Oryzias latipes: one gene and its partner. Each later gene encodes a partner of the first gene's protein in a complex. Links are inferred from orthologs where the notes say so. Each region holds a gene or a part of one and is shown on either strand. Other genes may lie near its edges. The genes, in order: lsm11 and lsm10.

Region 1 (4,391 bases):
GGATTCCCCCTTCGGATGCATGTGCGGGTCCTTCGCCTTCAGTGAGACTTGGAGTTTACCCTGTTTGCTTTTAATAGCTTCTGGCAGGTCGGACTGGGATGTCGCGCCGTCACCCTCCATCTGAGCAAAGCAGCTTTCCGGGGCAGCTCTGGGATTTGCAGGTGGATGCTGGTCGGCTTTTTCCTGGACGTCAGTCCCGCCTGGGCTTTCCTGAAGATTCAGCTTCTCAAAGAGCTGGACAAAACACAGGCAGCAATATTCCTTTTAATGTTGAGCAAACAAGAATGAATGAGTGTGGCAAATGTGGTAATAAAACCCACCACTGTGACGGACAAAACCAGAAGTATACAGACACAAATATAGTATTTCCTCTTTAAATTAACATATAAACAACCAAAAAAAAAGATACAAATTCAAAGCTAAAAACTAACATGATCTTCCTGCAAATGGTCCTAAAGTGTTAGACATTCATTTCTGAACCATTACTTTTAAAATCTATCAAAAAACTATAAATTCCATAAATAGTTTTTATGGGATGTTTTACATGATTGTGATGAACAGGGCTGAGTAGAAACAACTAAGTTTATTACGGATTTTAAAAATGTCCTTTTAAAATATGTGTTTCTCTATGGAAAACAATTTTTGCAACATAAAACTTTGATTATAAAAAAAGAAATTTGGAAAAGCTTTATTCAAATATTACAGAAAAGGTCATTTTTCCGCCTTTTAATTACTTGAAAGGAAAAAGAAAGTCAACAGATTTGACAAATTTATAATGCATGATGTCAATAGTAATATTTATATCTATCTATATATATATATTTTTTTACTATCTTTCCCTTTTGTACTGCTGCAAAATATGAGTAAAACATGCGATGTGCGATATTGATGATCAATATTGTGATGGCAATATAAATGTGATGGCTATAAATACATGAACAAATTCCAAAAGAAACAGCAAATGCATCATTTCCATTTCATTGCAACAGTTCTATTTAAATAAAAGTCAACATAATTTATATTGTACTCCAAATGACCCAAGTTTACATACGAGGTAACATAATGGCAGTCTGTTTGATTAGTCAACGATGTCATGGGCCACATCCGATTTGTCAAAGGAATAAAGGGATTTGCTTGATTTTTTTAAATACTTTTAAGGTGCCATAAGGTTGTTTTAGTATTTGTGTAAACATTAAAGTTAATCATTTATCACAGTGTATGCTGTCTTTTGCGACACGTCTGTCGCACAGGCCGATATCACAAAACAATAATTTTAAATTTTATGTTGACGAAACTCAAAAATGTAATGTTCCCAAATGTGCATCCAGAGTTTTAGGAGGTTTAAGATCCTTCTATATGCTGCAAATATTTAAAGATGAACTCCAATCATCTTTAGATCTTTTTATGAAAGCGTTCCCAGTGGTCTTTTAATTATATGATTATGTCGTTTTAAGCCAAAATAAAATAAAATTTGTCTTTGAGTTCTGGGTTGGAATGTTGGCACAGAGTAAGTCTGGCCTTACTTCCCATGATCCCCCCCCTTTTTTTTAACACTCTCTCCCGTCAGCCCCTCACAACCCCAACCTAATGTTACCGGTGCAACAAAAATGGGAGCAACATCGCCGCACAGTTTTGAGCCGAATGCCAGCTCGAATGGGGAAATCAAAGACGTACGTCAGAATGGAGCAAGGACCTTGTGGCTTGCCGTAGTGACTTGTACGTCACACGTTCAAGCTTTTTCCAATTGCCTTTTTTCGTCTGCTCCTGTTTCATAGTAATTTGAATAAAGAAATACTCAAAAATGAGTGGATCTTTAAACCTCAACCTCCAAATGTTTTATTACACTTTTTACAGTGAGTAAGTAGTAATTGGTGCCCATAATTATGAAAATATTACTATTGTTTTTCCGTGAGTACAAACCCGTGAAATGGTGAGCGCCTTCTCGTGGTACAACGCCTCCCCGAACAGCGGCTCCCTGTACGTCTCATCCACATCCACCATAGCCTGTCGGGGAGAAATGACAACATAAACACTCCTGTCACAAATCCAAGAAGGTAACAAGAATGGAGAGAATTTCCCAACCATGTTCCAGAACTTGTCAAAGGCCACAAGAAAGCCAGAGCACACGCCCCTCATTCCTTTGAAGGTCCTGATGTGAACTTTGATTCTTATCCGCTCCTGGATGCAGCGATGCAGTTCACCCAAAGGACTCCCCTTGCACACTGAGAATGCAGAAGATGGAGCAATTACATAAAAACCAAACCCTTTTAAATGATGTTTTCCTAAAAAATATATGTTATATGTTTACTCCTCAAACTTTAAAAGTCTACAAAAGCTGTGTGTTGAACTCTCTGATCAGTTATAAACTGGGATATTATTATTAATTACCAACAATACTCAGGTTATTCTTCTTTAAGCTGATTGGTTAACTTATATGTATATGATATAGTGAACTACAGGCGTGTTTCTGAACCTACGGGGCATCCTGGTCAGGACATTTTTCAGAATCTTCTGCTTCCTCCTCGGTTTCGCGGTGCTACCCTCTCCTTCCTGCGAGGAGGAAACCATCAGCTTCCTCAGTCTGTCAATGCGCTCCGGATCCGCGACTCCTTTCAGCGCTTTTCGTCGCCTTTTCTCGACATTCTCCGGTTTTGCTCGACCCCGACCGCCTTTCAGAAAGCTCTCGTACTCGGCCACATTGTTGAAGCACTTGATGTTTGGGAAAGGAAGCGGCGGCGCAGTCGAAGAGTACAGGGCCAGAAGCGGATCAAAGTTGTCTGAGCAGACGTTTATTTTGTCCGCGGGGTCGCTGCTCTCGTTGTCTCGTCCCGTTGCGCCCTCAGCAGACGTTGCTTCAGTCACATTATGGTCTGGTTCAACGGATTTTCTTTCTCTTTCCTCCATATTTGAAACAACCGCAAAAGAGCGGATTTTGCAGAAGCAATGAATGCTGGGAAAACTCAAACTTAAAAAAAAAAACGTGTTCCCTCATTTAAACTTAACTGGCGTTCATCATTTATATTATTGACTGTTTATTTTCACATTTGACTTATTGCTTGATATTGAAATAAATACAATTTAAAAATAGAATCTGAAATAATTTTTCAACTACAAGTCCCACAACCTCCGGTGCTAAAAAAAAAAAAAAAGAAAGTTAAATTACAACAATTGAACACAAGATGTCACTAAAGAACAGGGAATTAAGGCGCATTGCTCTAATCGTAGACATCATGCTGAAATTAACTTAGAAAAAGTGGATTAATCAATTTACCGTTATAAAAATGTATTGTATGTAATCATACTTTTGTCATGTTGTATTTTCTTTTGGAACAATTTACTTTTTTTTTACATTAATGTATTCCTCCCCCTCCGGAACTATGTGTCACAGCTTATGGTTTACAACTACAACATTAATCGACGGACTGCACTCAAAACAACGTGAAGGAGGACCACAGAAATACGTCAAAGGCAGACAAGTATTTAAACATTAACCATTTAAATGGATTTGACGTCGATACAAGACGTTTATTTACTATAAAATATTTATCTCTACTCTTGTAATTTTTTTCTCTCGGGAATGCTTGATGTTGATTGGAAAACTTTGGAGTTTTAGTGGACCACGGTCCTATTTTGTTCCTTTTTTTCGTCACTTTTATAATTCTCCTAATATGGCTAAGAGCAAATTTGAGTATGTCCGCAGCTTTGAAACGGACGACACATGCCTACGGAACTGTTATATTGTTGTTAGGCTGGATGGTCGCAATTTCCACAAGTAAGTTTGTAGTTTATTCTGTACTGGTGTAAATGGCTGGTGATTTGTTGATATTTTCTGAACTTTGAACATTTTATTGTTTTGTTTTTTTCACCTTGTTTTAGGTTTTCAGAGCAACATGGTTTTACAAAACCCAATGATAACAGAGCTTTAGGGCTCATGACCAGGAGTGCACAGTCTGTCATGGAAGAATTGGAGGATATCATCATTGCTTATGGTCAAAGTGACGAGTTTAGCTTTGTTTTCAAGAGGACCTCCAATTGGTTTAAACGAAGAGCCAGGTAGTTTGCTCTCTTATAAAATTTTTCTACTTTATTATGCTCATTTAAGATGAAACTTATCTTCCTTTCTTGTTTTTTTTCTGGCAGCAAACTCATGACCCACGTGGCCTCCCAGTTCTCCTCCTCCTATGTCTTCTACTGGAAGGAGTATTTTGAAGAACAGCCCCTCCTTTACCCCCCAAGCTTCGACGGACGTGTGGTTCTTTACCCCACTAACCGTAACCTTAGAGACTACCTCAGCTGGAGGCAAGCGGACTGTAAGCACTCATGTTCTACCACTACTGCATCCAAAATGACCATATAATAATACAGATCTCTGAAGATCACAGATAGATTTA
Region 2 (4,217 bases), on another chromosome or scaffold:
ACCTTCATCCACCTTTGTCATGGTAGGGAGAACACGTCAATGTAAGGGTGGGGTCATCTAAGATAGCACAAGGGCTAGAGCACAGAGCCTCGAGGGTTTTCCAACCAACCTGCCATTGAAGCTCCTTATTGGCTGAACACACCTGATCCAGGTAAATCAGCAAAAGACGAGCCCTTTGAGACCCTGATGCTCCTGTAATAGAGGTTTGATAAAATGTCTTCATTCTTTGGATTAAAAATATAATCTACAACCTGTTTGGAGCTGAGGACAATAGCTGGAGCCTCCTGGAGAGAAGCTCTTTTTGTCATTGGGACTTAAGTAACTGAGGACATCTGCTAGAAAGTCCCGAACTGAGAAATGTTTCAGTGTTGATGGTGCTTTTGGGTCCAAACCAGAAAATAAATGAATTATCTACTACTTTCTGAGTACCCAACAGATGTTTTGATTATTTCTCTGCCACAGTGTTTAACAAGCTGCAAGTAAATATAGGAAAAAACAAGAAAAATGAAAGTTTTTTTATTATAACTGCATCAACTACAAGTGTTATTTTACAGAAATATCCCCTTTTTTCACAGCTACGAAGCTGCTTCTCCAACCAAAGAAAATTTTCGCCCCCTGCAGGCGGAAAACTGAAATTGCAGTTGAGCAAGAAAATCACAAACATGTATTCAGTCAGGTCACTTTATTCACACCTTAAAGTTTTAGCTATATTTTTATTAAATAAAAAAAATGCATAAAATTGCTTCAAATGGCTTTAATTTTACACAAAAATTTTAAAGGAAAAGTTTTTACGGCAACTAAGATGGGTCAAAACAATCAAATCCATTCTGTTTTAGGATGGCTGGAGCTAAATAAGAAAAGGACTACGATTATATTTGTATTCATTTCCAGCAAAAATAAATGTTAACATGATAAACATGTCATCCTTCAAACTCAATTGTCCAAATGTTTATATTTACATGAATATTTATTTTTTAAGTTTACTTTTTTTCCCCAACAGATCAGGAACAAAACAACTTTATTTTAAGGCTGAAAGTGTTTTAAAAAAATCTGCATATTTCATTAATTTGTCCATTATTTCAACATTTTGTAGTGAAATCTGTTTTTGAAGACAGTCTCCACGTCAGTTGGAGGGGTTACCCTCAGGGTGGGGTTAGGCTGAAGCTCCAGAAATTTCCATCAAATTGTCATTTTTTCCTCCCGCCAAACTCCTTCCTGCCCCCGCCTTCGCCGGCGAAGTTGCGTACCCGGTGGATCTTGGCCAGCTGGCTCTCCATGGTCTTCATGATGTCCACGTGGTCGGGGATGTGCACGTAGCGCACGTTTCTGCCGGTGATGAACAGGTCCTGCAGCTGGGCGGTCTGCCCCCGCCGGTCCAGGAAGAGCACATCCTTCAGACGGATGTTCATGAAGGCGTCCACATTGAGCACGAGCCCCCGAGCTGAGCTCTCGTCCCTCAGGTCCACCGTGGTCACCTCCCCCTGCAGCCCCTGCAGCAGGACCACCATGCTGTTCTCCGCGATCGTCCGCTCGCGGATGGAGTTCACCACCTCCACCCCCACTGTGGCGGACTCGACCGCCTCAGGTTCCATGGAGTCTAGGAGCGGAGGACGGAGCAGTGGGGGGCTTTAAGTGTGACACCAGGGACCCCCCCTCCGCAGGAAAAAACACAACCAGTCAAAACAACAAGTTTCATTATTACATTTTATCTGAGTTCAGCCTCCAGAAGTTTTTCTTTGACATCAGAACTTATATTTTTGGAGTTTTTAAAGCTTTTGACCCGAGATGATTCTGCCTGACCTTGCTCCAACATTCAGCACCAGAATTCTCTCAGGTTAAAGTTTAAGGTCATGGATATGGATTTCCTCTCAATATTAAAAAGTGCACAAACCGAGAAAAACACTGATCTTTTCTCTCAAAAGTCTTTGTAATCTCTATTTGATTTGATCAGGAGTCTGGGTCATGATCCTGCATTTGTGTATTTTGTCTACAATGTTTTACATTGTATAACTATAGGACAAACTAATAAATACATTTCCCAGCAGACAACATCTACTCTGGAGCCTCCATCTAAATCAAGCAGAGTATTATTTCCCATAAATCTTTGCGGGACATTTTGATGTTAGAGAAAAACACCTTTTTTTAAACATGCTCGATTGTAGCTGACTTGCTTCCTTATATGAAGAACATTTTAAAAAAAATGATGGAATATATTAGATCTCAGAACCATTTGGAACTCCGTGAAACAGCCCAGGATCAGCTGTCAGCGCGGAAAAGTAAACATTACGACCAAAGACAAAAGCTTATTATTTGTCAGCAAAGTCGAACAGTTCCCATTTAAATCTTTTTTAAGGTTAAATATGGCAGCTGCTGCATTTGAACATCTAATTATCAGTTAGCTTGAATAGCAAAGCACCAGAGGAATTAAAGTCACTCAAGACATTTAAACGAGAAAATACAAAACACACAGAGTTAGCCATTAGCTTTAGCTAAACGAAGCTCCGTAACTCTTCCATTATGAAGCGAAAGTTGCCAAAACATTTACCAAAATATGCCGGACATGAGTCTAGTGTAACTCTGGTTTGATATTCTTCCGATAAATGTTGTTGGAACCAGCAATCTCGCAGACTCTGCCCCACGTCACTTTAAAAGTTGATTTCCCGCATTCAGGTCGACGTATTATACGTACTGACGTCAGAACCTCGCAGCCAATGAATGAGCAGCCTTTTTTTTAGAATGAAAGCTTTATTTAAAACGGTCACAACACCCGACCATTAGATTTGATTTTTGTTAGATGTACTAACAATAACATACGTCAGCTGTCAATAAAAGAAGAAAATTAGGAAATTAATTAATCCTCTTTAAACTTTAACAATGTTTTAATATGGATTGTTTTTATGGCTTTTTTTATTATTGTTTATTGGATTGTGTGTGGTGAATGCAAGGACCTGGACGCTTTTTAATTTCCTTTTCAATAAATAAAGCTTCTTCTTCTTGTTCTTTTTCTTCTAAATATGTTTGTGATTCTCAGCTATCAAGATCATGTTATCACCGAATTCTGTTTTTAAGGCATTTGGGACTTTATAAGGTGATCTGAGAGGTTTACAACAATTTAATAGGATATAATATTCTTTTCTAACAATAACAAAAACTCAATGTATTGAAAAATACTGTAGAAAAAACGTACTTCATTTACCCTTTTAATTTTTAAAATTCTGTATCTGAGTTTATCTGACTCTGGATTTAATAAAATATAAACATAAGAAGATTCTTTAATCTAACCCTGAATATTTGAATTGTTACTGAAATGCCTGAGGTAAAATTCCATAATAATTTACTTTTGGTAAAATTTAATGAACTATTTGATACGTCTTTTTTAAATCATAGCTTTGAATAATCAATCTGATGTGTAATTTTTAACATTGATTTTCTAGTAAAACTGATCTGGGATGACGTATCACATACAAGCATTATAAAAGTTAAGATCACCGTTGTTCAAGTATTTATCGAGATAGTTCGTTTAAAGTAAAAGTGGTTCCAAAACAGATCCTTGAGGAACACATGGAGAGCTATACAGATGAATAAACCATTTGAGATTATCCTGAATGATCCTAATCCCAACAAAAATGCCTCATTTTCATGATTGTCCTCCTTGATCTTTCATGCAGATTTATTATGTTACAGATTTAATCAAAGTCCCAGTTTAAAAAAATACTATAATAATAATAATAATAATAATACTTTAAAACTTTATTAAAACATGCCAACTGGAAATTCAATCTGTTAATAATCCTCATGTTAACTTTACATCTCACAGATAGACTGACTGATGAAACTGAGATAGAGACAGATACAAAGCTGCCCTGAATGTGTACTGCATCTTTGTTATTGTAACAGGATAAAATCACAGGGGTCAGTCAGAGGTCATCCATCATGGCCAGCAGCTCGTCTCCTTTGCTGCTGCCTTGGTCTTCGTGCTTCAGCTCTTCCTCTGCAAACTGAGCGGCGATTCGAGCGAGCTCAGCAGATGCCTGTTCATCCTGAACGCACACACAAAAACACACACAAACACACACACACCAAAATGATCATATTAAAGATCAAACTGGTTAAATAAAATTAAACAATAAATTTACAAATTCAAATAAGTTGTCCAAATTTAGTTAGATTTTCATGACATTTTTAAATCGTCACACAGAAAGCTTTTGACTCATTAA

What was found.
Region 2: lsm11 (region 1) and lsm10 share a complex: the UniProt entries of both Homo sapiens proteins name them as parts of the heptameric ring U7 snRNP complex. The link is inferred for Oryzias latipes from reciprocal best matches to the Homo sapiens genes LSM11 and LSM10.

The regions. Positions count from the first base shown.
Region 1 is NC_019868.2:20,588,685-20,593,075, reverse strand, and holds the start of lsm11 (U7 snRNA-associated Sm-like protein LSm11), read right to left. Parts: upstream 3,003-4,391; 5' UTR 2,905-3,002; coding exon 2,478-2,904; intron 2,223-2,477; coding exon 2,083-2,222; intron 2,005-2,082; coding exon 1,921-2,004; intron 235-1,920; coding exon 1-234. Other genes in the region: thg1l (probable tRNA(His) guanylyltransferase), read left to right, coding at 3,585-3,772, 3,877-4,053, 4,141-4,310. UniProt on the Homo sapiens protein: Component of the U7 snRNP complex that is involved in the histone 3'-end pre-mRNA processing. Increases U7 snRNA levels but not histone 3'-end pre-mRNA processing activity, when overexpressed. Required for cell cycle progression from G1 to S phases.
Region 2 is NC_019869.2:19,827,333-19,831,549, reverse strand, and holds lsm10 (U7 snRNA-associated Sm-like protein LSm10), read right to left. Parts: upstream 2,722-4,217; 5' UTR 2,546-2,721; intron 1,654-2,545; 5' UTR 1,593-1,653; coding exon 1,188-1,592; 3' UTR 673-1,187; downstream 1-672. Other genes in the region: protein OSCP1-like, read right to left, coding at 3,918-4,040. UniProt on the Homo sapiens protein: Appears to function in the U7 snRNP complex that is involved in histone 3'-end processing. Increases U7 snRNA levels but not histone 3'-end pre-mRNA processing activity, when overexpressed. Required for cell cycle progression from G1 to S phases.